Drosophila melanogaster: one gene and its partner. Changing the gene in region 1 together with any one later gene gives a genetic interaction. Each region holds a gene or a part of one and is shown in the gene's direction. Other genes may lie near its edges.

Region 1 (15,752 bases):
CGGAGCCGAGACAGAGTACACCGATGCGGAAATAATAAAGGAGCAGATCGAGAACTGGTTTGCTGAGCGCTCGAATGCATCTCCCGAGATCCTCGCCAGCTTCCCGGAGGAGCTTCCCAACAAGGCGGTGACCAAGTTCACCATCGCGGTGGCCGAGAAGAACACCCATGTGGGATGTGCGGCCGTGCGCTTCTCCCGGGACTTTTACAACCACTTCGTACTCACCTGCAACTTCGCCACATCGAACATTGTGGGTCAGCCTGTCTACACTCCGGGAGAGAAGGCAACCACCGGCTGCAAGAACCGATATGGAGCTGCCTACGACTACCCCAATCTGTGCTACGCCAAGGAGATCTACGACAACGAGAAGGTCATCGAGAACACACAGACGATGTAGGTGATAGTAGATGCTGGGATCTTAAACATGAACGCGGAACGGAAGCTTTATTAATATCAATTCGGTATATATAATTAACATGCAACTGGCAATAATGAATTCAATTCGTTGAACAATTTCTTCCACGGGAATTGGGGGATGCAGCAGCTTTAGCACGCGCCTCCAGAGTTTTGTGGGCATTGGACTTCAGATGGGATCTGTAGTGTTTGGCTGTCTTGAAGCTTATGCGGCAGATTTCGCAGCTGGAAGAGATTGGGGGTGAAAAAAATGTTTTACTCATTAGCATGAGGCTTCAAAAAAGTAATTTGATTACATTGAACTGCAGCATATCATATTCAACAGAGTACTGCTGATATTTTATAGGAATATATAGGCACACAATCGTTTTTTGCATATAAAACAAAAAATACGTTTGACATGCAAGATAGATTCGTTATTTAGTTGCGAATAATGGAAATCCTTCTAATTTGCATTCTCTGCAAATACTTAAGAACTGGGAGGAAGTCGTACCCGTGATCGCGAGTCAAGTTGTGATACTTTTGATGTGTCCTGCACTCGCTGGGTGTTACATACGACTTGGGGCAGTACTCGCACTGGTAGATACGCTTGCTGGCGTCCATGTGAACCCTGCGGAATATATTGGAAGGGTCACGTAAGTGGGGATGGTGGGCTAAGTGACGGTGGAGATTCGTCTGAAATTCTACCTTTCATGCATGCTGCGGGCGCTGCAAAAGCGAAAGGTTTTGCCACAGTTGTAGCGACAGATGTAGGGACGCTCGGTTGTGTGGGTTTTCTGATGGGAACAGAGTTCGGCGGCTGTATAAAAGGATGCGCTGCACTGGTCGCATTTGTGGCGTCGTGTGCCCGCGTGGCGAACCAGGTGATTCTTCAGATTAAAGGCCGTGGTCAGATGCTTGCCACATATGTGGCACACATGCTGGGACGCCGGCGGCCTGAGACACCGCTGTTTGTGAGTCTCCAGCAGAATGTGATTGTGGAATTGGCTCTTGCACTTGGTGCAGGAGTGCTGCAAAAAAAATGTTTCAAAATACAATCCTTTATGAAAGGTATTGAACATTTTAGATGGAATCATTACCGTCAATGGAAGATTAATCATGTTGCAGTGCCGCGTAAGTGCGGCTGCTGATCGGAAGCCCTCGTCACAGTGGTCACAGACGAATCTACAAGGATAATTAAAGTGTTAATTGTGGCAATTGATTGGTAGGTTCTCTCATACTGTGAATAAGTTGTTCTAGTCATTCAGTGATAGGGTTTAAAGGATTCCTTAATTCCAATCAGAGCAGCACGTATAAAATGGAAAATCGTTCTAAAATTAAATAAAAATTAAAACAAAAGACAATTAATACGGAATGAATGTGAGAGCTAGCTAATAGCCAATTTAGCAATGTAAACTAAACATATTTTGTGCCCTGACGGAACGTCTTCAGATCTTTTAGGATTTCTACAAGTTTCGAACGAATAATATGGGAAAATCATGCAAGCATGCCTCTAAAATATGATTATTTACTTGGTATCTGGCGGGATGTCGTGCAGATGGTATTTGTGCAGCTTCAGTTCGTCCACGTTTTCGAATTCGAGGCCACACTTGCTGCACGTGTGGCTGGAGGAAGTGTCCCGATTATCGATAGCTTCACTTTCGGGTTCTGATTCGGGAGAGAGGCCCATGTCAAAGTGCTCATTCGACAACTGGCTATCTGTTGAAAGTTCTGGAGAAGATTGCGGACTGGCCACTGACTGGTATGCATTCATATACTCTGTTGTTGTCGTGGTCTTTATGGAAGCCAACTCATCCGTATTCTTATCCTGTGGCTCGGGATCGAAGATAAAATCCATGCGATCATTCAGCTGTAGCACTGGCGACAAGTTGGACAACTCATCCGGACAATCATCCAGCCATTGCTCCGCCAGGCTCTCGAACGCCTCCTCCTCCTTTTCCACCTGCCTTAGCTGAAGTTCAAGGAGCTCCTGGGCCTCGATGCAAACGCGGCGGAAATCGATGGCAATCTGCAGGTCGTGCTGGCAGTCCTGGCACATGAACCTGGGCAACTTGCCGTCCTCTTTTAGCTGCAAAGTGATTACAGATCGCGGCATTTATTCGGTTTTTATTTTCGCAAAACGCTAACGCACTCACCTGCAAGTTAGTTAGAGTCTCTATTTGACGCAAAACGGAAGAACTCGATGGATCGAAGAGATTCTTGGCTACCGCAGGATCAGCCATACGAGAACAGGTCCTGCAAATGTACCTCATGGCTTGTGTAATGAGATAACGCAGCACCCCGATCGATTGGAAGTGTATCTTTTTCGGTTTGTTTGGACGGAAGAACAAGAAAAGCGGCATTCGCATTTCTCAGCCCCACGCATAGTCGATTTCGAATTGACATTCGCCCAGCAACGCGGCCATTCCGCCGATTTTCAAAATCTCAATTTGTTGTTACAAGTTTTTTTCAAGAAATAAACCATTGTATCTGCAGAGCGAAAAGTCGAAAACCTTTGATGTCACAGGTGTACATTTTGATTATTTCTTCTTTTAGAACCATCAAATCAAAAATAGAATCAATTTGTTCAATTTAGGAATCTTATAATAAACTTGTACTTTCAGCAGTCCACATGAATTCTAGACAATCCTAGCACTTTCAGCTCTTCGCTGGTGTAATTTAGTGCTTTGATGTAGGGTCAAATGGGATGAGCGCAGGAACCACTGGTCACAGATCTCGCAGCTGGAAAATACAGTCAGTTTGCACATATTTTACGGAGGACAGCTAGTGCTCCTACTTACTGGTACTTCCGCTGATTAGTGTGCAGCATCTCATGTTTTTGACGCGTCGACGTGGAGGTGAAGGCCTTGTCGCAATGCTGGCACTGAAAGGGACGCTCGTTGGTGTGGGTCCGCTCGTGGACCACTTTACTGCTGCATCCTCGGTAGGTCTTGCTACAGAACCGACAAGCGTACGGTCTGGCGTCCGTGTGAAGGATTCTGTGGCGCCGCATCTCGTTATCCGTGTAGTACTTGGCCTGGCAGATGTCGCACGCGAACGGTTTGTGACCGCTGTGTCGCTGCAGGTGCAGTTTGAGGTAGGTAGAGGACTTGAAGACGCCGCCGCACTGGTCACAGAACCAGGACTTGGAGTTGCGCTTCGTACGCTTGGGGACACGGGCACTTACTCCCTTCGAGATGATGGACATGTTATGGAGCTGCTCTTGACAGTGCTCCACCTCCTCTGTTTGTACTTGTACTTGTTCCTCCTGATTCTTCTCATTCTGAGTCGCATCTTCTGCGTCCTTCGCCTTCTCATTATCATTGTGATCTTCCCGCAGAAGCCCAGCTGTATCTGCCATTGCTACACACATTTCCTGATCCGTGTGGTCCCACAAATCCTGCTGTAGCTTCTCAACATCCGGTTTATCGAGTTCCTCATCAACTATCGCCTTTTTTCGCAAAAGTTTCCTGTTAGCGGCCATAAAAGACTTGTGGACCTCCAAGCACTTATTGCGAAATGTTAAGATCCTGTCCAGCTGCACTTTGCAACATTGGCAAATTAGATGTGGCAGAGTGGTGTCAAATTCGAGCTAAACAATCATTTAAATCAATTAAATAGACAGCATACTTTAGTTTTATTCACTTACATACATACATATCGGTGATATTTTCCAGTATACTAATAAAGTGATAGTTGCTTTTGTTGAACAGTTTGGTAGCCCGACCCTGCAAATTGGTCACATTTTTGCCACAAGTTCGGCAAATCGATCGCAACTCAGACATTTTGAGCAAACCAAACGATATTTAAAAAGGTTTTTTAAAACTCAACATTATTGTGATGCATTACATTCAAGTGAATGGCAAGCGAGATAATGAAGATGCACATCAGCTGTTGTCTGTTTACTAAGTGCATGTGCGTGGTGTGTACACACTGGCTAAACGATATTTGAACAATTCAAAACAAAAATATAAAATTGTATTATTTTTTTTTTTTTTGAAAAAGCATAGACGCATCCAATACTTTTCTTTCATTTTAAACAACAATTTGGTTGAAATCGGCATCTTTTAAGAAATCTAACTTTTATTCGTTTCAGAACTAAAATCTTAATCAGACTTCTTTGCTCTCGACTTAATGTTATATATAAAATTCGTTGAGCCTTGCATTAAGTGCACGCTTATGCTGATATATGGCTTTGCCTGGCTGCATGATCACTAGGTGATACCTACTCCTTAATTCCCATTCTGCAGACCGGACAGTGGCGGCCACCATTAGCCTGGTACTGGTGGAGGCACTTCTCATGCAAGGCGTGGCTGCAGCGCAGATACACCATGGTGTAAACACTTAGGGGATCTAAACAAATCGTGCACAAGTCACCGGCTATATTGACATTAACCACCTTATCGCACTCGAGGCACTTTCTATGGGAATAGCGAAACACCAAGTAGCAGAGATTGTGCATGGCATGTCCACACCTCATGCGGCGCCGGTCGTCATCACTCAGTTCATACTGGCAAAAGGTGCACCTGCCATTCGGCGACCTGCAATGAAACAAGGGATTTAAGCCAACATTTTAGCTTTGAATCGCAAGGCACCAACCTGCCCACGATTCGACGCTCATTTAATAGCACCCACCTGGAGTAAGGCGAACTGCGGTCGTTATGCCAATTGAAATAGGCGAAAGCGGCAACGGACACCAGGCCCAAGCCTATTATTAGATTCACGTAGACCATTTTCCGCTGGCTATTGGCCTAAGTAACGTGGAAATAGAAATAAGTAGAGATTTTCCATGAAATCCCCAAAAATTAAATCAAATTTCCACTTTAGTGGGACCGCAACTGGTCGGCACTGAAAATCCAAATAGAATTGCTTGGCCACATCAACTGGCCTATTGATCATGATCAAGAATATATATGAAAATGAATTAAAAATTAATGCTGGTGCCGCAGAGGAGAGTCCTCGCAGCAGTCACTGTCCCGCCAAACCACGTCCCACCGACTTGACCTGCAGGACAGGACTTCCCCGTGTTCCAAACTCCACCGTTCCGCCTTTAAAATACCGTGTCGCACAGCCGGTATCCAAGCAGTCCAAGTGTGGCATTTAACCACCTACTCGCGCACAGTCACACCGATTTTCAGTTCGTGAACACAGTTTGATGAACTTTATGCGGAATTTTAGGGATTTGAGAATTTTGACGAGTCCAGGCAGGGGTTACTAAAGTCTCGACTCGCCCAGCGTGCGCCATCGATTTCGGCGTGGAAATCGAAGTGAAACCTCCAGCGCCGTTGCCCGAGAAACACACACACAGACACCTAATCGGGCACACCCCCACACAAAACGGGCAGACAGGAGGATTTTCCGCTGGCAATTACTCGGTGAGACGGGCGGTTAACTTAACGACGGCCATAGCTATGACGGACCGCGAGCGCAGCATTCACGAAATGCTGAAGGATGCGCCCTCGCTGAACGACAGCTGCGGAGCGGTGCACACGGGCACCGAAGGCGGCAGCGGGATCCTTGGAAGCGCCAGCAGCCACAGCATCGCCGGCGGAGGAGGTGGTGGCGGCAACGTTGGAGTTGGTGTCGGCGGCCCCTTTGGCGCCCCCAGCAGCCTGCCACTAAGAAACCATTCAGGTGAACTATTTACGAGTCCTCGATTTAGCGACCAACTGACTCAGCATCGATCTTTTCGTGCAGCACCCACCACACCCATGTCGCCCAGTAGTCCACCATCCGGTAACGGCATCCTGAGCCCCACGGACAGCGGGAGCGGCAGCATTATACGCACTAGCGCCTCCAAGATCGACAGTCTCAAGAACTGGAGTATATCGACGTACAAGTGTACGCGACAGATAATGCTGGAGAAGTTGGGCAAGTCGCAGCGGACCGTGGACTCGGAACTGGAGGCCCAGATAGAGCAGTTGCGCGAGACGCAGCGCAAGTATCTGTCCATCTTGAGGCTAACGCGGGCCTTTAGTTCGCACTTCCAGCACGTGGTCGTCACACAGCACGCCCTGGCCGACTCCTTCGCCGATCTGGCCCAGAAGAACCCCGAGCTGCAGAAAGAGTTCACGTGCAATTCGGAGACGCAGCGCAATCTCACCAAGAACGGCGAGCTGCTGCTTAATGCGCTCAACTTCTTTATTTCGTCGGTGAACACACTGTGCAACAAGACGATCGACGATACGCTGCTGACGATACGACAGTACGAAACGGCCAGGTAACCAAAGCTATATCCTTTCATTGTCGTGCAACAACGAAGGAAAAATCATCATCGATCTCTTCGATTTTAATTTAAACTCAGCATGTGTGTGGCTTTTTATAAAAAGTGTTGTGCCACACAGCTCTTATCAGAAATGCATTTTAAACTAGCCTTGTATACAAGCTTGAAACATTGCTTATCGTATTATTTCCTTGAAAAAATTTAAATACGTTGGATCAATTAGTCATAACCGCATTCCATGATAATCTCTACAATGGCAATAAGTTTTTATTTCCTAAAGCCATCGTATGTTTCATAAAAAGGCATGAGAATTATATGTAGTAGAAGTAATGTCCTCCTGCCTTTTAGAATCGAATTCGATGCCTACCGCATGGATTTGGAGAACACCAAGCCGGAGCTGACGCCCTCGGCCGTCGCTCTTGAGGAGACCCAGCGCAGCTATGCGCAGCACAAGGAGCAATATGAGAAGCTGCGCTCGGACGTGGCCGTCAAAATGCAATTTCTCGACGAGAATCGCGTAAGTGGTGCCAAATGGATCTTACCTATGCATTTAGCGAGACTAACCATTGATCCAATCCGTTTATCCGTCGATAGATTAAAGTGATGCACAAGCAATTGATTCTGCTGCACAATGCCATCGCTGCCTACTTCTCGGGCAATGCCATGGCACTGGAGAGCACTCTGAAGCAGTTCAACATAAAGGTGAGTGAGCATGGAAACATGGGAGCAGAGTGCTCCCATTAAACTTCGTTCGCACATTCACTTTTTCACTTCTCCTCTTGTGGCCCGCAGCTTAAGTCACCCAATGCCGTCACTGGATCCTGGCTGGAGCAGTAGATCGAGTAGACGCAGTTCGTCCCTTTCACTCGCGAAGCACTTAGGCGCGTATATTGGAGGAGATCGGGACACGTCGTCCACCTCCACTCATTTGCTGAACGAGCACGCTCTCTAAAAGAAAAAGGAAAAGATCGGTGGCAGAGATGATTCAGTATGCGATGCAGTGGACAGAAACACTGCATGGCGAACCATAACAATATTTTCGTGCTAAGTTTAAGTCGAATTCCTAAGCCGTAAGCAGAAAGTGAGAGTGGTAGGTGTATGTTATTTATATATTTTTCCAACCGCTTTCCATTGTATGTAACTCGCTGTACTACTCACATTTCCACAGCTGGTACGCTGACGTTCCTTTAACTTGTTTGTGTTTCCAAATTTTCGTTCGATTATCATCATATTGTTGTCCTCCGCGCTTGTAAAACATATATAACAAAGTGTACTCGGTGCAATATGAGTGTTTTAGTTTTAGATATTCTAGAATGTGTGTATAAATCCTTTGTAATTCACCCAAAACGAATAATCCATAACGAATCGAAACTGTTTTTGCGAGCTTGCATAATTTGAAATCATTGTTTTACTAGTCATCGTATTATTTACACTAAAATGAAGTCTATATATATATAAAAATATATAAATAAAAACTATTTAATTACACCAAACTGTGTGTTAGTTCTTCTCGAGCTTCAGGTCGCCGAGCTTCTCGTTCAGCGCACTTTCTTCATCCTCCTCAGCTTTGAACATCTCCTGAAATTCGGAAAATCAGATTGCTTGAGTTTTCTGGGGAGTTCTAGGTGTATTTCTGAATGAGTCACTTACCGGATCGTATATGACCTTGATGACTAGGGAGCAGCTGGGACAGGTGGCCACCTCCTCGCCCTCGATTAGCTCCTCCTAAAGTGGAAATTTACCAAGTGATATGGGGAGTCCAGAAAAAAAAAGGTTGCGTATACGACTCGTTACCTTGGAGATCTGAAATCGATCGCCGCATGGACAGGGATAGTAGTACATCTCCTCCTCCTCGTCGTACTCGAAGTCCTCGATCTCCACCTCGTCGTGATAGATGCTCATGACGTACCTTCAGCTTAATTCAGCGCCTAAAGGTCATATTATATTTGAGTTTTTTTTGCGATAACTTAGATTAATCCACGCCAAACAAATGGGCACGTTGTGTTGCGGGGCTGCCAACTCGTTGCAGCGAACAGCTGATCCAGTAAACAATTGCAAATGTTTTATTTGGACATTTTTGGACCGCCGGCTGCAGTTGTGAAATAAGTCTCGTATAAAATAGTATATTTTAGCTAACTTTTGCCCAAAAAAGACAAACTGCAAAACAAACCCATGTTCCAGTTGTTGAATAAGGAGTAAAATAAGACTAAATGGCTAGCAAAAAGTACAGTGACGTGAATCTTTACGATCTTCTGGGCATTTCTCTCGAGTCTGATCAAAATGAGATACGCAAGGCGTACCGCAAGAAGGCCCTCGAGTGCCATCCCGACAAGAATCCGGACAATCCGAAGGCAGTCGAGCGCTTCCATGAGTTGTCCAAGGCTCTGGAGATCCTCACGGATGAATCCGCGCGCGCAGCTTATGACAAAGTGCTGAAGGCCAAGAAGGCGGCGGAGCTGAGGAGTCGCCAACTGGACGGGAAGCGGCAGAAGCTGAAGCTGGAACTGGAGGAACGTGAACGGGCGGCACTGCACAAACTGGCGAAGAGCCAACCCTACAGCACGGTGGCCAAAAGCGACGAGGAGGTGCTGCATGAGCAGATCGAGCGGTTGCGACGCGAGGGCTCCCGTCTGCTGGAGGAGGAGCAGCGAGCCATGCAGGAGCAGTTCCGGCGGAATCACGCGGAGCAACAGAAACTGCAGCAACAGCCGGTCCAGTTTGATTCCGCCCAGCATCGCATCAAGATGAAGTGGAAGGCCGAACCTGGCCAGGATTACACACAGCAAGAGCTGCTCAAGTATCTGAAGAAGTACGGCGACGTGGTGGCCCTGGTGGTCAACAGCAAGCGACGCGGACGCGCCATGGTGGAGCTGGCCACGCGCGAAGCCTGCGACATGGTCTTGGCCTACGAAAAAGGCGATCCCGCCAAGCCGCTGCACTTCGAGTGGGTAACGCCGCCGGCGGCAGACAAGCAGACAACCAAATCGGCCACCACTGGGTGCAGTGCGTCATCCACCGACTACGAGGACCTGGTCATGCGAAAGCTGCGCCAAGCTGAGGAACGTAAGAGACTCATTGAGCAGATGATGAAGGACGAGGAGGGCGAATGAAATAAGATTTAGTTAGGCTCAACATTTAATTTACTTTAATTGGACTAATATTAATGTTTGAAAATATCTCAATTTAGCAACTATGCAGCTGATTTATAATACATTTACATTTAAAATAGTTTTTAATTTATGTAAATTTGGTTATTAATTATTTTTTGAAAAACCGCAAAAATAAAAAAAAGTTTAAATCAGAATGATGGCAATTTTTAGTGCCTGAGCAAACATGACAAGTTGGCAGGCCCGCGTGCCAGCTGCTGAAATTTGTTAATTAAAAGAAATGCAAAAATGACACGGGAGATAAATAAATTGAACTACTAAGCGAACTGAAAGTAAATGAACTAATTCCCTTTCAAGGCGAAATGGAGAAGCGACAGAGGGAGCTGGAGGCGCTGGTGTCCACCCAAAAGGAGCAACTGGGGCGCTATGAAAAGCGTCTAAAAGGTGAGACATAGATGAATTCGCAATGCAAATGGATTAATGAGCCCAATTTGTAGACGTGGTCACTGCCTACAAGGGTCTGCTTAAGGAGAAGGAGGCATTGGAGACGAGTCTGGCGGCGCATGCGGAGGCCACGGCGGTGGGCGAGTCCGGATCGCCGGCCAGGGAGTTGGAGTCCAAAAAAACCAGCACCGACTCTGCGGATGGAGCAACCGAGGGCGCTGCACCGGGTCCGCCTGCTCCCCCGGCCGAGGGTCAACTGCAGACCCAAATTATCACCCTGATGAACTCGCTGGCCACTCTTTCCGCTGAGAAATCCCGCATGGAGGCCTCCTTTCAGGCGGATAAAAAGCAACTGCGCAGCCAAATCGCCCAAAAGGAGCAGACCATTCAGGAGCTTAATACCCGGGCCAAGGAGCAGGCTGCTCGGGCCAAAAGCGACGTGGACGAGATCAAGGCCAAGTGGATCGTGGAGCGACAGGAGCGCGAGAAAGAGACCAACAACCAAATGCTCATGATCCGCGAACTGCAGAAACTCTATGCGGACGAGCGGCATCTAAAGGACAACATTGAGATGCAGTTAAACAACTTCAAGACCCAGTTCGCCAGCAACGAGGCAGAGAATAGCCGGCTACGGGAATTGCAATCCCAGCTAAAGGAGGCTCGCTCCCAGCTGAAACAGTTCCAGGCCAAGACCGAGCACTCTGCAGCAGCGTCAGCGAGTGCGGACAGCGCCGCTCTCCTTCAGCAAGTGCGCCTTGAGATGCAGCAACTGAAGGAGCAGCATGCAGTGGCCATTCGTCAGGAACAGCGTCGCGTGCTGCGTGCCGAGGAACAGAGTCGCAGGCAGGCGGCGCTGCACGAGGATCGCGTGGCCAGTCTAGAGGCACGCCTGGCGGAGCTCAGCACCACTGTCGGCAGCTACGACCGCCTGCGTCAGCAAGATCAGGACAGCATCCATGATTTGAAGCAGCAGCTGCAGGATCTAGAGCAGGCACATGTGCGTCCAACATCCAATTCAAGGGCGCTAAACGAAGATGTGGACGTAGCCACGCTGGTTGACGAGATGGTGCGCTTGAAGAAACTGCTTACCACAGCCAATGCCCGTTCTGCCAATCCACTGGATCTCGGGGAGATCCTATCATTTAGCGGCCAAACAGCTACCCGAGTCGAGAGTCACGCCCACTGCGAGCAACAGCTTCAGGGTGTGCAGCAAATGCTCGAGGCATCCAAGCAGCAGCGACAGCTACTCGAACAGAAGGTGCAGCTGCAGCACTCGCACATCCAAACGCTGCAGGAGAAGGTGCAGGTGCTCAATCGCAACATCGACGAGGCGGAAGTCGAACTAAAGCAGCAGGGCGAAAAGCTGCGCCTGGCATTGAAGAACGAACGAACCAAGTGGCAGGAAGCCAAGGCTGAACTGGAGAACGAGACGCGCTGCAAACTGAACGAGCTGGAACAGCTACTGCAGAAGCAGCGCCAGAGGTCACTGCAGCTGCTGGATGAGAAGGAGCAGGAGATTAAGACACTGCAGACCTCCTTCGAGGTCTTTCACTCGGCCAGCGGTGTGGGCAGCACACTGGCCACACCCACACTTGAAGCAGCTGCCGATTCCTTTCACTATTCCTCCGACACCGACAGCGTGGAGGGGGAGCAGCGGGAAAGAAAGCTAAAGGTGCGCTCCAAGAAAATGTCGATGGGCGAGAACTGCCACATGCTGCACTATGCCAACGAGTTGGCGCGCAAGGACATCGAAATCACGACACTGCGGAAAGCCAAATACGCCGCCGAGTCGACGCTGCGAAAGGCGATCCAGGACAAGGTGACATCTCAGCAGGAAATGCACGAGAAGATCGAGTGCCTCAAGGAGCAGGTGGACAGGTGCGTCGTTGTCGTTGTTATCGTTGTTGTCTTAGAAAGTCATGCCACGATCTCTACTCCCATTCTAGACTCGAACGTTGCAAGACGCGCGAGGGTGCCAATCTGGAGTACCTGAAGAACGTTATTATCAGCTACATTGTTACCCGGGACGCGGACGGCAAGCGTCACATGCTGAACGCCATCTCGGCGGTGCTCCAGTTCACCGCCGCAGAGATGCAGGCGATCAATGCATCATTCCAGAAGAAATAACATTCGTACTTTTGTTCAACAATCATGTGCAACATATTTAAAACCCTACAAACAGATCCTAAATAGATAACTAACTAAATCCGACGACTGGGTATTTGTCTAGGTGGGCAGCTAGCACGCCGGGAAACATGGCCAGGAACTTAAAGCGAGTGCCCATCTGGGCTGGATCCGTGAGCATCTCGTAGCCGGAGCGAATGATCTCCTGGTTTTCGGGCAGCGCATGTGCCAACAGTTGCTCCAGTCGAGCCTCACCCTGCATTCGCTGCAGGAACAGTCCCTGCTCCACGGGACCGCAGCAGTGGACATTTCCGCGTGTCTCGGCAATGTGCCGCACTAGCTTGAAGTCCACATCGGCCGTGAGATCAGCACTGCCCGGCTCCACCAGCGGATCGTGCAGCTTGTGCTGCTTGAAGGCCCGGAAAGTGTCGGTTTTCTCGCCAAAATGGCCATAATCCATGATTAGAGCGATGCCGCCATCCCGTTCGATGCGCTCGGCGAGCAGTCCCACCTGTCGTTCCGTCTCCAGGGAGTGCTCCAAACAGGATCGTGTCTCGCCGGGCAGCGGTCGATAAAGACTCGAAACGGGTGTTTGGCTACGTGAGAGCACATATCGGAAGCTAGCTTCTTGTGCGCCATCAGAGGATGCCACATCGATGAGCACCTCCTGCCACTTGCCATCTACGAGTTGGAGCTTGTGCACAGGCAGGGCGTCGAAGAACTCGTGGGCGAGAACTAGGGAGAATCCCTGGGGCACATCCTCTAGCCGACGGTGCCAGAATGCCTTCGTTCCACTGGCCGTTGTGCCCTCCTGGTAATGGGGCAACTGTGCGTCCTCCGGCAGGGTTTGGTGGGAGTAGCAGAAGCGCTGTGCCTGTGCCTTGCTCAGAAACGGACTGACCTCCACCATGTGCATTGAGAATTCGGCGTCCTGCTTGAACTTGGTGAGCACCTTCAGCACGTCCCTGGCCAGTGTGCCGCGACCCGGACCGAGCTCCACAAGTTGAAAGGGCGAGGGACTGCCCATTTTGCGCCACTCGCTCACCAGCCAAATTCCCACGAGCTGTGCAAAGGGATATGATGTTATGATGACAGGTTCTGATCAATGTGCTTATCTCACCTCTCCGAAGATCTGTGATATTTCCGGGGAGGTTATGAAGTCGCCCTCTCTGCCGAACACATCCCGGTTCATATAGTAGCCAGCTTGGGGATTAGTCAGCACTTCGCGCATGTACTCGGCCACAGGAATGGGTCCGGTGGACAGAATCTTGGCCCTCAGTTGCTTGGCCAGGCTGCCATGTCCGCTCTCCGCTTTGGAGGACGCCTCCGGCTGTTCCTTTGGCGGCTCCATCTTTGGAGTACCTGTGGCGCCCAGATTCGGACGACGGACGGACTTGTAGCTGTACCAGCGCCTGTTGCCGATCCTAAGAGCCTCGCGTAACATTTTGGGCCGGCGAAAAAGTTGCTACAAAAATAAATGAAATGTTTTCTGATTAGGTAGTGACCACTGGATACCCTGCATTTAATTTCAAATGATTATATAAAACGCTAGATGTTTTATTAAAAGGGTTTCTAGCACACAGATAATTTTAAATTCATTGTAGACAAATATAATTGAATTTAAGAACTGTATTCTTAAAGGTATATTTTTTTAATTATCACCAATAAATTGGAATACTTTATCCACAGTTACAGGGTGTATAAAGGGGGCTGCCCACTTGCTGGGCAAACAGCTGTTTGGATAGCACAAATCCGTTACTTACAGCAAACATAAATAATTAAAATTTATTCTTTTAGCACTCTTAAACTAAAATGTTACATATTAATCAAATTCCATTGTCCCATCAATCGAAGTCCATTCCATGCCTACATCGTCTGTGTGTTCTCGATGACCTTCTCGTTGTCGTAGATCTCCTTGGCGTAGCACAGGTTGGGGTAGTCGTAGGCAGCTCCATAACGGTTCTTGCACCCGGTGGTTGCCTTCTCTCCCGGAGTGTAGACAGGCTGACCCACAATGTTCGATGTGGCGAAGTTGCAGGTGAGTACGAAGTGGTTGTAAAAGTCCCGGGAGAAGCGCACCGCGGCACATCCCACATGGGTGTTCTTCTCGGCCACCGCGATGGTGAACTTGGTCACCGCCTTGTTGGGAAGCTCCTCCGGGAAGCTGGCGAGGATCTCGGGAGATGCATTCGAGCGCTCAGCAAACCAGTTCTCGATCTGCTCCTTTATTATTTCCGCATCGGTGTACTCCGTCTCGGCTCCGCTGTACTGGAACACGGCGTTGTTCTGGCCGGCGTAGGCGAATCTCTCGGTGCTGCGACATTTATCTGGCAGGGACTCACAGGTCTTTACGTTCAGCAAGGCCAGATGGGAGAGCTCCTCGCACCAGGACATCTTGGCCATGCGAACAGCCTTGGGTAGTCCTTCTATTTTGCCTCCAGCCACGTTGTTGCGCAACTCGTTGAAGAGATTGAGGATGAGTTTGTGGTGCGGCTCGATCTTCACCTCACGCACGTCCTTGGGACAATTTTCACTGAAATTCTGGGCGAGAATGGGTGAGCACCAACAGGTTTTGGCCAGCTATCACTACTTACTCCCTTGTTGTTGCAGGCTATGTGCTTGTCCAGGCACGTGGGCAGAGCACAATAGTCCGCTGCAAGGCTTATTCCCAGCAGGGAAGTAAGCAAAATCAGAGACTTAATGGCCATCTTCAGCGTTGGTTTTGGACTGAGGCTTAGCTACCCAAAGTACCCTATTTATAGGATAGCTGTGGGGGGTTTTTACCAAGTAACCGGAGAGGAATTGTAGCCAAGTATTGTTACAGCTGCATTCCCATGAATGTCTGGTCACGATGGAGTAGTTTACCCATACTCGAGTGTCATATAAAAGCAGAACTATAGACTACGGACAATCAGTTGCCAAGAGTCAGTGGCATTGTAGCAATGCTCTCCGTAGGAACTACGATGCTAACCTGCTGATCCGGAGGACACCCAATTATTCTAGCAAATCACATCGAACTCAATTGGCGATTTCTAATCTCTTTTGCTATAAATGTTCTACGAGTGTTTAAGTTTGGTGGTACTCTTTTATTGTAGATAAACTATTTACTAGTGTCCTAATATTATTTTACTTTTAGCTCTAAGGAGGTATAATAAATAACAATTTAGCCTGGGTATGTACATATATTAAACTATCATGAGAAATAAACTAATGATTCCACCTCCTAATCAACATTAATCGATTGTAAAATCTGTGACGTGGTCTTTTCCCATTAGATGCAATTGAAAAGATTAATGAGTCAGCTTAGCCAAAATCTGTTTATTGATCGCTGCCCTACCGCAGCAGTTGGTGGTAGAAGCGAGCAGACAATTGAACGCGGACACGACATTTTGTTTAAGCACTGGTGGTGGTGGCGGCGGCAGCAGCAGCGGTGGTAGCGGCAGCCTCCTCCTTGAGACGAT
Region 2 (15,576 bases), on another chromosome or scaffold:
TCTCGAAGCGGGGTAAATAAATAAAAAAAAAAAGTTAACACTCATAATGGGCTACAGTGGTCGCTGGAAAAAATCAATATTCCACTGTCAAGTCTGGGGTTCTGAGGTTTTCAAAACATGTTCCGACAAATCAATAAATTAAAATTTCTATAACCATTAATAGCTTACCTAAAACTTGTTTATAACGAAATGTATGTCGTATGTGGGGGATATTAATTTCCATAAATATCAATAATATGTTCGATAGCATAACTAGTATAAAAACATCAAGAACGAGACAAAAAATGAAAGGAATTGTCCACAAATGGTGATTAAAGGGTTTTTTCTTATCCCGCCTGAAGGACCATATGGACGTAACAGGATATAGTTCCGATTTCACAGTATTTTGCCAGCCATAAAATGGATCCACAACCACTGTGCGCCTAGAAGAGCCCCATAAACAAAACAAAAACCGAAAAAGACCAACAAAGTCTGCAAAAAAAAGAAGCAACAGCCAAAGCGGCAAGAAAAACGATTACGCCAACAGCCGCTGCTGCTTCAGTCGACGTCGCAGTCGGCGTCGGCGTTGGCGGTAAGGTAACGGTGGCGCTTGAAGGCGGTAACGCTGCGAAACGATTTAGTTGGCCGCCGCTGCCCGAACGCGTCTCCCGTGTGCTTCAATTCTCAGTTTTCGATACGAATGGTCGCCATGGTCTAGTCCCCATTCCATGCCATTCCATTTCCATTTCCACTGGCCTCGTGTAATTATGATATTTTCCAGGGTGTTACGATTAAAATTATTGATTTGTGTGGCCCCAGAAACACTCCCCCGCGCAGAAAAGTGATAAGAAGTGGACGCGTTGCTCATGCTTTTGGCTTTCTTCCGACGTTTTCACGTTTCGTTTAAGTGCACTGAGCAAAAAAAGTGCAATCTTTGACAAGGCATTTAATATATGTACACTCTTTCACTGGATCCTACACACTTGCTCGTACATGAATATGAAATAAACTGTGACGAGACTTACCTATAAACGATTTGTTCCACTAAAAATGCAAAAAAAAACCTAATTTGTACAAACCCAAAAACGTGACGCCCACAACCAACCCAATTTCTTTTCAGTGAATCCCTCCCACACAACACAAAAACGCCATAAAAACAAAAGAGTTAACAAAACGCAACCATAAACCAATGAGTTTAAAGTGAAAGAGTGAAGAATTAGGAAAGAGCAGAATCGTGCAGATTTCGAGTGTGTGATATCTGTTTTGTTTTTTTTTATTAGTTTTTTTTTGCACAGTGTGATCATGGCCGGCGATACGGAGAACAAAAGGGGCTATCGCACCATATTTCGCAGCATATCCCAGGTGTTCTACGCCAATGCAAAAAACTCGAGTAATACGAACAGCAGCAGCAGTAACAACAACAATAATATCATCAACTACAACAACAACACCATCGAGAACAACAACGAGGGAATCGGCCAACTAACAGTTACGCTCACCAGCATAACACCACCCACAGCCACATGGACGTCGACATCGCCCACAATCTCCACGTGCACAACTGCGTCCGCATCGGCGGGATCATCCACCGCATCCTTGTCGCCACTGGCTAGCAGATCAGCGCGATCGGCGGAGAATATATCCTGCAGCGAGTGTGGAAACCCAGATCCGTATCATGGCCAGGACATGGAGTTGGCAAAAGGTCAAGCCCTGACTCCCGAAGTGCCAGCAGTGCCGGTTCCAGCTGCCAGTGCGGATCAAAACCAGAAGCTAAGGGCCAGTTCCATGCTGGATCTGACCTCCAACCATCGCCATCAGAACGGCTTGAGGGTAAGTCCAATCTCACCTAGAAACATGCATCAATTTGTGGGGAGTAGCAAACGCCTTTCAAAAATGGCATTAACCAGACCCATCCATCAAGACATCCATCAAAGAGGAGAATCAGCCAAGAAAGTCCATCCTAGTTGACTTTAAATCAATCATTAACTTTTAAGCCTATGTGATGTACGAAAACTGATATTTCGTAATTTATTTATTTGATCACTTTGTATGACACATCCAGCTACCTTAGAGAGATCCAAAAATGCTAATCACTGGTAATACCTCTTTAAAAGTCCATATAAATGTGAATGGGGAGGCCCTAATAGAGCCGAGATTGAATTTCCCCGAAAAAGCTGCAACTACTGATCTTCGACTGATAATCCGTGTATCAGCTTTATTTATCGGCGATCCATAGGATTTCCCTGGCCCATGAATTTAAACCCGTTTACGGTCCGTTAGCGGTCTTTCATTGGAGGGTTCGGAATGAAATTTGCATTCCCAGTGAAAGTGAGACCGGAACGGGTTCCGAAAGAGTTCCGTTGGGTCCGAAAGTGAAAATCCATTTTCCACTGGCGCATCTCGGCGTCCTTCAGATCGCTTAGCTTGAAGATCAACTCATTTTGATAACTAATTTGTTTTAATACACGACTTTTCGTATTAATGTGCGTGCAGTAAAGAGTAAAACCTTGCTTGGAAACTGTATCATTAAACTAAGATGACCCACGTGAACAACTGTGAAATCCATAAAAAACCATTGGCCAATTAGCCAATAAATCATACTTGTCATGGGCATATAAGCAAGTTCATTTATATCAAAAACACATCGTGTATATGTATGTACATCAGTGTTTACATTTCCGTTTGTGCGAAGAATGCGATAAAAATATGGACATATGTACATATTTCGTAACCTTAACCTTGTTGATTACATTGCAGCCGTGCTGGGCAAGTTTAGTGACCCATTTTCATGGGATAAAATATATATATAAACGATTTTGTTGCTAAGGGAAAACTGTTTCCTGGCAAACTGGGTGCATATTTTCACATAATTTTACATTATTACATTTACATTTACATTATTTGATAACTACCATAAATCAATGTTAGTAACATCATGGACTTGTGTGAATATCGTTTGGCATGGCGTTTGCAATGGCATAGGGGCTTTCATTGTGCCATCCGAAAAGCGTCTTAACCCCCTAAAACCCCCTTAACCCATGCGGTTTTCTCACTGATGCAATGGCAAAATGCATTGCGCATGGTCTTATTTCGAGCTTTTGTCTGTTTCGTTTTCCGTTGCGTGTTTTGCCATTCGCCTTTGCCTACTTTATCATCTTTTAGTCCATCTTCGTTTTCGTTTTCGTTTTCATTTCCATTGTGCCGCTCAACTTGGCGACTAATTGCGAGTGCAGCTGCGCATGCGTGTTGCGCGCGACTTGGCAGCGATTCGGGCGCGTTTTCCCAGCGATTTTTGCATTGCGAAATGGGGAAAGAAATGAAACCAGGAAAAATAGAATATAACCATTATAAGCTGGGTCTCATTAGCAAGCAATTGTCAAGCGAATTTCTCTGATGCGAATGAGGGAACATAAAAGACATGCACCGGGAGAAAATACGTGTTATTTCTTTATCGCATTAAATATTTTTTAAGTTACTCAAGTAGCTAGATTAGCTAGATGGAGTCACTAGTATGTCGAGTTCTCGCATGTATCTATCTTTTGTCTTAGAAATATATTGCTGCATACTTTCAGACACCGAATGCATCTTATGTAACGAAATTTTGCTATGTGTAAATTGTAATGCCTAATAACAACTGAATGCCTTTTGTTTTTTGCTGTGCAGAGGCTTATCACTTGGTTCGTCTGACTGACGAGTGCAACAATTTTGTCATCAGTCAACAACGGGCACAAATACACGTACCCAGTCGGTCACATAGATACTCTGCGTGCATTATTTCCATTTGGCTTTATTTATGCATTTCATTTTCTCGCTCTGATTTGCCCCGCACTTTTGCCTCGAAATTTCTCTTTTAATTTAATTTTTTTTTTCTTTGTTAATGCAGCGCCAAGTAGAATTGTCGTCGTCTGATTGACACTTGAGCTGACATTCTCATTTCAATTCGAATTCGTACTCGTTTACGTATTCCGATTCCAATTCCAATTTCAGCTTCCGTTATCTCCCTGCCCCCCCCCCCCCCTCTCGCGTGCGTCATTGAATTCTCACAATTTGTATCTCAGAGGTTTTTATCTCAAATTGTGAGTCTATGAGTCAAGTTTCGGGGGCCCTTCGGCAGTGTGTTACTGATAGGAAAGTCTGGAGATGAGCTATATAGAAGCGGGCTCATTCCCTAAATTGGTGTTACTTACATATAAGTAGGATTGATCGAAAACAAAATTATATAGGAAACAACAATTTTCATTTACTTATTCAAGCTTCTGTTCCTGTCAACACGAACGTTTGCAAAATGCATAAATACACGTTTCGAAAACTAATATCTTTCAGTTCAATTCTTTGACCAAGCAATTGATAGGGAAATATGGTTAAAATCGGGAATAGTTTACACAGTAATGCAACGGTTTCTCAAAATTTACAAGGTTCTGTGTGTGTGTAAGGTTTATTGCGTTTTTAAAAAACAAAACTAATTTCATAATATTGAACAGGCCCTCTCTAATTCACACTTTTCTCATTAGCCACACAATCGTTTAAATGCTATTAATTAAGAGGCGTAAAGCACTTACAAATGCAGTGCATATTTATTGCATACTTCACACCATTTTACGCAAATTGTTTTTCCATTTTATCAATTATTGACTAATTCATCGGATTAGATTTCATGCTTGAATGGTATAAAACATCGAATGAGTCACAGGCGATGGTCAATAAAAAGTACCAATTAAGGCAGTTTTTTTGTATTTTTATTATTTTACCAGCAGCTCTTTACTTTACTTTTGAGGCGTTGACAAAAGCTGCTGGCTTCGGTCACCCAGCACACACACACACACACACACTTACACACAGCCACTCCCCACTCCCCTCTTTTCAACTCGATCTATCTGTTGCTGCTGCTGTCGCGCTTAATAAAATTCATTAAAAAAGGAGAAGACCGCCGTCCAACAATAATAATCATAAAGTGAACTCAGTGGAGAGGGGGGTGAAGAGGATGCATGTATTGGGGGAGGGGGAGTAAACACCAATACAGCCACATGCAACATTCAACGCAGAAATAGAGTTGCCATTCCAACTATTTAATTGCTAGTCAAGAAATAGCATTTTTTTTTAATCTTTTGCAAATTATTTGAGAATGAAGTTTTCTGCATTTTCAGAAACCAACTGAAAATATTAAAAATTAAAATTATTATTAAAATACACTTTATTTATGCACACTATTAGATATTATTATACATTTAGGATATACTACACATTTAAGATTAGATAAAATTGTATAGAATCTCTCCGCTTATCATAACTGCATATTGAGGCTTATTATATACACATTGAAATATTGAAATGCACTTGTTACTCGAATCCATCGGGTTTTTACTGTCGGATCTCGACAACACTGAGTTGCAGTCGCTGCCAACTCATTACCGACGGAAACATAATGCTGCCAAAGACGCGAGTCTGGTTCTGGACAGGGATGTGGATGTGGATGTGAGTGGGGACGGGGCTGTGGATTTGGTTGGGACATGGACGGGACTTGGACAGGGCCATCAGCCATCAACCATCATCCACGGGCCATGAGCCGTGGGCCACCCCTTTTAATTCTTCGTTTGTTTTTTTTTTTCGGGAAAAGAAGGCGGCCGAGGAACCCGCAGAAAAGCCAAACCAAATATGAGTCGGGGCAAAAAAAAAAAAAAAAGATGGAAACTGAAAGCGAAAACATGAGAAATATGTTCTTCAGGAATTAATTTACCAAGCACTGCGAATGTTAAATGCCCTACTCCGAGATATAATTCATAATTTATTAGCCGAATAAATATATATTAAATATATTTGGGTTTCAATTTATGCACTTAAAACTCATATGTGGTGGCGTGCTTTAAGATAGATATTAAATCTATAGTGTAAATCCCACACTTAGTCAACCCTAGAAAACCCTATGATTTATTGGTATATTCCTGCATATACACATACATACATAAAAGTACATATGTATGTATGTAGGGTAGCCGATAGCAAACAGTTGAATGCAATGTTGGTCACAGCCTGAATGCATTTCTTTATTTCGGTATGTGTGCGTATTTGTTGTTTTGTATCCGCATCTGTATTTGTATTTGTATTCGTATCTGGTGGATACATTTGATGCCGTCGGCAGCGAAGCCAACAACAACAATTGTGTTCATTGTGCTTAATTAATTTAGTTCAAAGATCAAGCGACCATATTGCTGAACATCGGCTGCAATGCGATTCTTCGCCGGCCTCTGCTCATTTTCATTTTTATTTTCATTTTCATTTTTATTTTTATTTTCATTCTCAGTCTCACTCTCATTCGCCTATTTTTTAAGTCTCTTCCCCGGAATTGTTGTTTTTTCCCCAAAGATGCATCCTCATCTTTTCTTTCTCTATTTGCTCCCGGTTCTGTTTTATATGGATTCCGATTTTTGTAAATATCGGTCGTGTACTATATGGATCTTCAAAACATGATTGCGAGCAGTATTATGAGGAACAGGATTATGAGGATTGGTTTCAAAATTCAATAAGAAATAAGAGAGCTTACGGTTCGTGCTGAAAGTGCAGTTCTCATTTTCATATCGGAATTGCTTGCAATAAAGTGTTGAGCAAAAGTATGTATGTACATATGTATATGCATATCGTAATCGGTTTACGCAACTGTTGTGCATAAATTGAACAGTGTTTAGCATTCATCATGGTTACTTACACAGCTCGATCCACCCGCCCAGCACCGCCCCCTCTGCGGTCCCAGAACCGACCCCAGCCCCCCCCTTTTTTTGCACCCCCTACTCCCAACTCAGCCGAACTGAAAAACAAACTCCCAACCCTCGACAGCACCCCCCCCCCCTTTACCACCCTCCTTCAGGGACCGCACTCGATATGCTTAATTAGGCAACGGGCGTTGAGTATAAAAAGCGTCTTTTGTCGCTGCCACGCCCCACCCTTACCCTCTCACCCCCTCATTAGCCCATGCCACCCCCAACCCTTACACACACACGCACATTCGTGAATGTGGTGGCGCACAGCCAGACAGAGCCACACATGTTGCCCATGTTCCATTACACACATGTGGTTCGGTTTCAGTTCAGTTTTAGGTTTGTTCTGCTCTGCGCTGTTCTGTTCTGTTCTGGGCTTTTGCCTCCCCATCACTGATCTCTGGCCCACACTGGTCAGCATGACATGGGTACGAAGGATAGTTTCAAGCTCGGTTGACATGAGTCATAGTTTCACCGATGATGAATCACAGCTCATAATGGTCCATAGTCATGGTCATAATAATGATCCATAGACTTTGCCTATAAAAGTAAATAACTGTAAGAAATGTATTAGACAAGGCAAGAATTTCTATTGAATCTTATATTAATTTAAAAAGTTTTATTCTAAAGAAACTTATTGATGATATAATTTTGTAAGGCTGGCATATATAGTTAGCATTTATAGTTTTTAAAAATACTGATATATCCTGTAATATATGTATTATATTTCATTTGAATATCTGAAATATTTGAAATTACCCGCTTATAATTCCCAACTTGCTTTTTCATCGGAAGCAACAAAATTTTGTTGCGGGCTTTGGGGGTTAGTGCCCACTTTTGCTGACTAGTGTGGAGTGCTCGAGTTCCCTGGGTGACCGGAGGTCGGCATCGCCATAGCCATAGCCACCGCCACCGACTCGTGGCGTCGACTGCGACTGCGACTGCGACTGCGCGGCGACTGCGACGTCAATCGCTTACGAGGCGGACCGCCACCCAAGAAAATTCTCGGCGGCATCTTGAGTTCAATTTCAGTTGATATTCTGTTAAATTCGCGAACGCGTCGCGCCTGCAGCTCCCGATTTGATGGAGAGCCCCACCTCAAGCCCAATTTCGTAATGCTCCCATTTAAAGCTCGGCTTATCAGTGCTGGCCAAAATCGGTGCTTTTTGTTTTGGTGCTCGGGTTTCGGTATTGAAGCCCACCAAGTGCCTCGATCGATCTACAATAGTTTTAATAATAAAACAGTGCATTTGGGGAAATTGGAGAGAAAGTGAGATAAGCGCTGCGAGATAACGGGACCAATCCCGTTTTATTTGTTCCTTCCTTTCGCCCATAATATGGGTGTGTGTGCTCATGTGTTTCTTGTGAATTACAGTATATTGCTTTTACAATGGCATTCATCGTCATTTATTCATTTGTCGCGCCATCTGAAAATGAACGGCGATGAATCATCGGCATAGGCAAATCAGCGGATTACCCACAATCCACACTGATTGCATTGCTGTCTCCTTGGGGGCTGCACAATTTGGACAGGTTTTATTGACGGGGTCAAGAAGGTCTCGATCGAATGCCCAAAAGTATGCAAGTTTATCACCAAGGCGCCCGAAAAACCAAAGTTTTGCGGTTTTGTTTTTTTTGTATTTGAGGAATCAAACTATAAACTGTGTATTTTGCCAGTGTTTGAAGTTAAACTTAGTTAATTGGGTTCAACAAAATATATATCATAATCATATTAAAAAATATAATATTCAATTGGTTGTGCTACAGCTATTTTTATAGCTATTTATAACGAAACGGATTTTCTGAATGAAAATTTTTAAAAAAGTATATGAATTCGGTATCAATATATTTTTTCTATGCTATTGCTGCATTTTGGTGATTCGTATCAGTACATAAAAACATTTTATTAATGAAATTTTAACACTTTAAAGTGAATCGCAAGCATTTCTTAAGTCATGAAGGATTTGAAATATATACTTTCAAAATTTCCAAAATGAACAACAAGCCCAGTGATGTCAGGCTTCTAAATAGTTTATTCACTTATTTATTAATAACTATGCTTCAGAACCTTCAGACCCTAGGGATTCAATTTAAGAATTGTTTATTTTGTAGAAAGCTAATTAGTTCAGAGAAATGCTCCTAATGAGACCACAACAATTATATTAGTGAAAACACAGTCAATCAGTTATGAAGAATTCCACAAGCCTTTTGTTTGCTATTAAAATTCAAATAGTTTGGAACAATTAAGTGTATGGCTCTTTGTTAAATTATTTCTCGGATTGTTAATATATCACGCAAGTAATTAATCAAGATTTTCTATTTAAATAAATTCGGTTTCTGTATAATTTGTGTGTTTTTTATCAGAGAAATGAATATCTTATAGAATGTTCTGTAAAATTATCTTTTAAAGGACAACCCAAACATGATTATAAAGAATTGAAAATTAATAATACAGGTTATTGTCCAAGCAAACAAGACAACCATTGACCATTGACCCTGATTCTAGACCAAAGTATGATTAACAACACCGTGAAAACGCTTTTACCTACCAACCAACCAACATTTGTGGTACCTAACGATCCAAATCTGTTGTATTTTGAAATATGGTGGTAGGCTACTCTCGACTGGATTTGAATCAGTTTTATTTAAATGACGCTGTAACAACAATTGGTGGTGTTGGAGAATGCGAAACATGTTTTAAGCACCTAAAACCCCTAACCGGTTTCCCCTTTCCGCCCCAAGCCGATTATGATTAATGGCGGCGATCCTAGATCAAAGAATTACGAATAATACGAAGCCCCCGAAGAAGATTTCAAGATCTACCATCGAGATAAACATGATTTCCCCACTTACGCCGATCGAAAGATTAATGCACGGACCCTCGTTTCTTGGCACCTTAACTCCATTAGGCTCACTCTCGCCTTCCGTTCGGGATAACTGTGCACTTGAAAAAAAAAGATAGAATATACATATATTAATATATGTAAAATGAAATTTTGCATATTTCCGTTTTGGTTTTTCAGTAAGAAGGAATTGTAGAATTCTTGTAATATTTTAAATTCCCAAAATCAGTGGCTACTATTTTTTGCCAGTGTGAACTGAGCACATTCCATATTCCACACACCATGTTCCACATTCCATCTACCTGGCGGCACCTGTGAGGCGTAGGTGAGGAAGTCGACGATCGTTACACAATTCTCGACTGGCCGCCAACCTGTTTCTGTTTCTCCGGGGTTTTCTCTGGGGTTTCTCGCCCCTCTCCGCTCTCTTCACCCAGTCATGGCCATCATTTTGAGTCCGAGGGATAAGGACGGGGGTTACGAGAGGACCGACATGGTTTGGTGGATCGGTTAGTGACTCATCTCCGTATATCAACGAAAAACAAAGCTCAAAAGCAGAAGCAGCACTGTGGAATTCTAGTCAGATGAAATGCATTGGGGTTTTTTTTACTTTAAACATTATTTGCATTTAAGCATCAAATGTTTTAGGGCAAACAAACAATTCATTTTAGAGCTCTAAACTGATTAGTGATAAGTGCTCTGGATCTTTTTGGGCGTGAAATATACAGAGATATTGGGTCTAGTTACACATATATTGAATACAGCAATGGGTTCCAATAATATTTTATCAAAATAGCTAATATATGTAAATATTAGAAGAAATGGTAAAGAAATTCACGATAACAGGGTCATATTATTAAAAGCTGTTTGCAATTAGATTCGAAAAATTCATCCTTTAAATTCCCAGATTTAAAAAAAGTCAAGCCAAAGAATTGTGTTTTGAAGGCAAAGCCGATGGTTTGGAGGAAAACTGAGTGCAGAGTGCAGCGACTTTGGCTGAGATAATGAATATCGCTGATTGCAGTCGGAAGCGGGAGGGAAAGAGACAGAAAGAAAGAAAATGAGGGTAGTGGCATCACTTAAAGAGTTCAAGCCCATTGACTTTTCTCAGTGATTACACTGCGAGAACTAAGGTCGTTTTTGGGGTGTTTCTCAAAAAATAATAGTGAGTAATCGAAGATTACAAGTTATTCAATTCACTCGAGTGAGAAATTTAAGAAGAGCCATTCGAGCATTTCCAAATCGAATTTATGTTAATTAAATACCTTCGCGACATTTCTTTTGCGGTGCACGAAATTCTCTCGATGACAGTGCTCTCACTTACTATCTCTCCAATTGCCCCGCTCGGCGATTATTTTCTCACTTAATAATGAATTACGATGTGACGCAGCGGCGATAAGAGAAAGTAGGGAGGCAGAAGAAGAAATAAAGAAGAGAGATGCCACAGCAGGCGAAGGACATTAACGATAACGTCGGCATGGAGGCGCACATCTACGAGAATCTGCCGGGCCTGACCTCCACCCCCAAAGGTCACCTGAATGCGGAGCTGCGCAAGTATTTTCCGCGCGAGGCGATCTACGAGAATCTTTGTCGGGGTTGCGGCTACGGCGTGTTTGCCGCCCAAGGACGCTACTGCCATTTCTGCCAGTGCATCGTGAGCGGGGGCGTGGTGAGTACACCGCCTCCCCCACCGCCACCGCCCCTTTCGACGATTTCCGGCGAGAGCAGCAACATCTATGAGAACATCTGCGATTTGTGCCGCGGCATTTATAGCGACAACGAGCGGTGCCGGTGTCAAAGGTCAGAGACGCCAGCCAAAGCGCCCGCACCGTCCACACCAACCACACCGCCCACACCACCCACCAAGGTCAAGTCGCGGTCGCTCTTGGGCTACTCCAAGTCCAGTGCGGCGACCTTGACCCGTCTCTTTGGCTCTCTTAAGCAGCTGAACCGTTCGTCGTCGCTGCAGCGCAGGATATTCCCGAGGACACCCACGACTGGCAGTAGCAGCGCTGGCTCCCTGGAGATCATCCACAACGTGGACGAGGTGTTCCGCACCCAGGAGACCTTTGACCTCCAGCGCATTTGCGAACTCAAGCTAGAGCAGCAGCAACTGAAGGGCAGCCAAAGCGATCAGCACATCTACGGCCGCGTAAGAGAGCCCGAAGAGAGCCAGAGCCACAAGAGAGAGCGCAAGAGGCCGCGCGTCTCTCGCATTCGCCTGCTGCAGGACGAAAGCACATCAGGATCCTCATCATTGTATCTCAACGAGAGCATCTGCCAGTGGATGACCTCCCTGAGGCGGCAGGTGCACCACTACGACGAGGGGCCGTGGCAGCAGCCAAAGAGCGTACCAGCGCGCGATCCTTCATCCTCCGCCGAGGAGAGCACGGTCACACTGCGGAGAAGCACGGAGGAGAGTGCAAAGTGTGCGGACGAGCAGGCGAAGTTGGTCAAGGACTTTAAACGAAAGCTGCAGCAGAAGAGAGCGCACAACGTGGAGCCGGAAAGAGAGCAACGGCGCTGCGCCATCACGGCCAACTTTGTGAATGACTATCTGAGCGCACTGGGCGAAGAGAAAGAGGCAGTGCAACATCAACAGGTGGCCGCAATCGAAGAGCACGTCGCAGTCGTCGCAATCGCAATTCAGCCTCAAGTCTCTGTATCTCTCTTGCGCTTGATGCAGAGTCTCGCTCTTTCGGCCAGCTTGCACGTGAGTGTGCGTGGCTTTCTCACCGCCTATGACAAATCGTTCAGCTTGTGGCTGTGGCACCAGCAACAACAACAGCGACAACAACCACCGATCAACGGTTATCGGCGAAGGAGAGCGCGTGACTCAGTTGTTGGCGTTGTGGGGGATTGGCGACGGCGCCTGCCTCTCTTCGCCTTCTCCTTCGCCGGCGGCAACGATCGTTCGGTGGCCTCGGCTTCGGTTTCAGTTTCGCCAGCGATTTCAGAGAGCGTAGACGTGTGTGCTGCTGCTGCGTCGCGACGCCGCGCGAATCGAAGTACGAGGCGAAGAGGGACAGCGATAGTCAGGGAAGAGGGTGTGTGCGGGGGCGAGAGCTCCACTAGCAGTAACAACAGCAAGAAAAACAATAATAATAACAGTAACAACAACAGCGGAGCTTTGATGGCAGCGCCTAAGCCAAATGGCGAGGCAGAGCGCCCCTCAACAAACAGCAACAACAACACCATCAACTGCAGCAGCAACAACAACAATGACAACATCAGCAATAACAACAACAACCATCACACCGTTGACAATGAAAGCGGTATCAACAACAACAAGAATAACGACGGCAACGCCAATTGCAATGTCAATGAACAACAGCAACAACAACAACAGCAGCCAATCACACAGGTCAACACTCATTAATAAAAAGCAAAAACAAAAGCCGCATCAATCAAAGGCAAAATTAAAATGCACAGAGAGAAAAAGTTTGGGCGGTATCAACGAGCGCCACAAAAAAAAAATATATTATTTAAAAATTCAATTGACACGGTTGAATTTTACCAATTTTTTTATTAACTATAATTGGTTTGATTTCCGTAAATCAAAGTAATACAAATAGTGCATGTAAATAAATATAAAATTTATAATTCCCAATTGCGATCCGTCAAATCAGTTCAACATCAATCAGGAACGATTAAAATTGATCCCTACTTTTTTTTCTGTTCTTATATATGAAAAACAGTTTGAGGGCAATACGTTAATATTGTGATGCAATTATACTTTTCTCTCTGTGTACTTGATTCTGTTACGTTTCACTGCAGTTCAAAATTGACTAACGGTTCACGTGCGAAAGGGATGCCAACATTCGATTGGCCAGCGAAACGAAAAAAAAAAATAAATAAATAAACAAACTTATCTAATTAAAAACAACCATTGAACAATGAAAAAAATGTGAAGTAAAACAAACAAGTTTGCAATGAAAGCACAAGATAACTATAAAATAATCAGCGTTTAATTAACGTCATTTTTCACACTATTTTTTTGAATATTTTTTTTTTACTGATTGCAAAATTTGCGTAAAAAGCAGTAAAGTTGCCATCACAACTGCACAAAAAAGTTCAATATTGTGATTCCTAGCAAAGAAGTTATTAATGGAGTAATTCATTGTTTTCGCAGGCGGCATATTAATGATAATTTCCATTAAAAGCTGATCGGGAAATCCGCCTCCACTTTTGTTATTTTACGTAATTACCTAACTAATTAACTATGTTTATCAGTTTGTGAGAAGTAACCCTAAATTCGTAACTTTATTCAAAGATGGGGTTTCCTTAAATGTTTTTATTATAATTGAAACGAAATGAAATCAAAACGATATCCCACCGTTCGTCAATTATTGCAGCGAGTAAAACACAACAGTCGAAACAGGATATTATTTTTTGTTTTGACAATATAGTATGTTTCCACCTCAACTTTTAGAATTGCGTTATTAAAGTTCGACGACCGGCGCCAAAGGTACCCGTTCGAAATCCCAACACATCTTTGAGCAATCCCCGCCAGATTGAAGAGGAGCAGACGAAGCCGAACGGAGGGAAAAAGGATAACCTGAGAGGCAACTCCTTTGCCGCGGAGAATTCCAGCCCAGAGGAGCAGGAGGAGGAGTCCATTTACCAACCCATTTGGCAGTTCAAGACAATCGAACCCGTAGATCAGGAGATAATCGAAGCCCTTCCCGTCGAGGGCGAAGATGAGGAGGACGAAGACGAGGAAGACGACGACGTGGATGATGAGGAGGAGGATCTGGGGGACTACGACGAGTCGCTGCCATCCGATGCTGATCCGGATGTGATGGCTCTCCAAGCGGCGGCGGTCTTTGCCGCCGGAGTGCGCCATAAGTTGTCCACATCGACGCTGACCAAGCGTTCCAAGATGATGATGCCGACGCCCCTGCCCTCGCCCACCGCCTCCATGGACCATGGAGCGTGGGAGACGGATATGGAGTTCATGTACTCGCGGGAGAGTAAGGAGGAGGCGGATGAAACGCTAAGCCTGGGCAGTACGGTGACGAACAGCACAGCGACCCTGGGCTCCATCAGCAGCACTGGCAGCAGCGTCACCGGGCAGCCAAAGGATACGCCAAAGGATCTGCCAGCGGATCAGCAGCCATCAGTCGTGGTGCATCCGATCCTAAGGAACATTTGCATTTTCTACAGCCAAAAAGATCCGAAGAAGTACAGCGCTATATTCTACGACTACCATCTTTCGCTGGTCCACCAGCGGTTCATGACCCGGATCCGCCGACCAGCACCACCGCCACCCGCCCAACTGGCCACCTCAAACACCACGAGTCTGGCACCACGCAGCGATGATAGTGGCTGCAGTTGCGAGGCGGAGGATTCGTATAACCACCAGCACAACCCCACGCCGGCCATTCCGAAGCCCTTGAAGGAGGAGTGGGAGCGGGCCGTGCTCGCCGCGGGGGCGGTGGCCGGTAAGAGGGGCGTGGCTCCGAGGACGGGACGCAAACTGCGCGTTCGCTCCAATGCGAGGCTGCTGCTCACGGACTCCGTGCTGGCGTGGCGGGAAACGCTGCAGGATGTAAACTGCTGCGAGGACGAGGAGGACATGGTGAGTGGGTGGGGAAATGTCTTGAAAGATGAATTGAAAAACATATATATTAGTCTAGGCATTATTCATACATCCAAATTCCGATTTTGGAATTTCCGGCCAACGATCTTTAAATAATCTATAAATAGTGGGAAAGTCATTTCGTATCAACGTTGAATCAAGCTTAAAGTCGTGACTTATATTTCATGAAGCTTAATTAAGAGAATGAGAAAGATTGATTTCTTTGTTCATATTATTTTAAGCAAGCAAATGACTTTAGTTGGTTTTTCGAGTGGGTACCCCACTGTCACTTGCAATTTGCCATGTACAATACGTTCTCTCAGTCTCTTCGTCTTCGGGTTGGCCATTGTTTCGCCACTTGTTACTTGTCACATCAATTAAAGTCAGCAAATGTATCTGTAGCTTAGTTATCTAGGTATCTCCGTAT

Evidence for each region.
Region 2: of Arfip (region 1) and RhoGAP18B, changing one suppresses a phenotype caused by changing the other (phenotypic suppression), as found in Drosophila melanogaster (2 studies listed by BioGRID).

What each region holds. Positions count from the first base shown.
Region 1 is NT_033777.3:11,224,783-11,240,534, reverse strand, and holds Arfip (arfaptin), read left to right. Parts: upstream 1-5,521; 5' UTR 5,522-5,804; coding exon 5,805-6,027; intron 6,028-6,090; coding exon 6,091-6,613; intron 6,614-6,964; coding exon 6,965-7,133; intron 7,134-7,210; coding exon 7,211-7,318; intron 7,319-7,408; coding exon 7,409-7,453; 3' UTR 7,454-8,106; downstream 8,107-15,752. Other genes in the region: scpr-B (SCP-containing protein B), read left to right, coding at 1-397; CG31388 (uncharacterized protein), read right to left, coding at 498-639, 908-1,024, 1,102-1,424, 1,494-1,578, 1,926-2,482, 2,550-2,666; CG31441 (uncharacterized protein), read right to left, coding at 3,033-3,135, 3,195-3,985, 4,047-4,178; CG17721 (uncharacterized protein), read right to left, coding at 4,619-4,934, 4,993-5,126; Dph3 (diphthamide biosynthesis 3), read right to left, coding at 8,117-8,194, 8,267-8,341, 8,411-8,518; CG17187 (uncharacterized protein), read left to right, coding at 8,827-9,726; GCC88 (GRIP and coiled-coil domain containing 88 kDa), read left to right, coding at 10,086-10,167, 10,221-12,045, 12,114-12,294; CG17726 (uncharacterized protein), read right to left, coding at 12,365-13,354, 13,412-13,735; scpr-C (SCP-containing protein C), read right to left, coding at 14,158-14,832, 14,886-14,999; RpL3 (ribosomal protein L3), read right to left, coding at 15,685-15,752.
Region 2 is NC_004354.4:19,150,384-19,165,959, reverse strand, and holds the start of RhoGAP18B (Rho GTPase activating protein at 18B), read left to right. Parts: upstream 1-7,758; 5' UTR 7,759-7,840; intron 7,841-10,958; 5' UTR 10,959-11,006; coding exon 11,007-12,932; intron 12,933-14,000; coding exon 14,001-15,149; intron 15,150-15,576.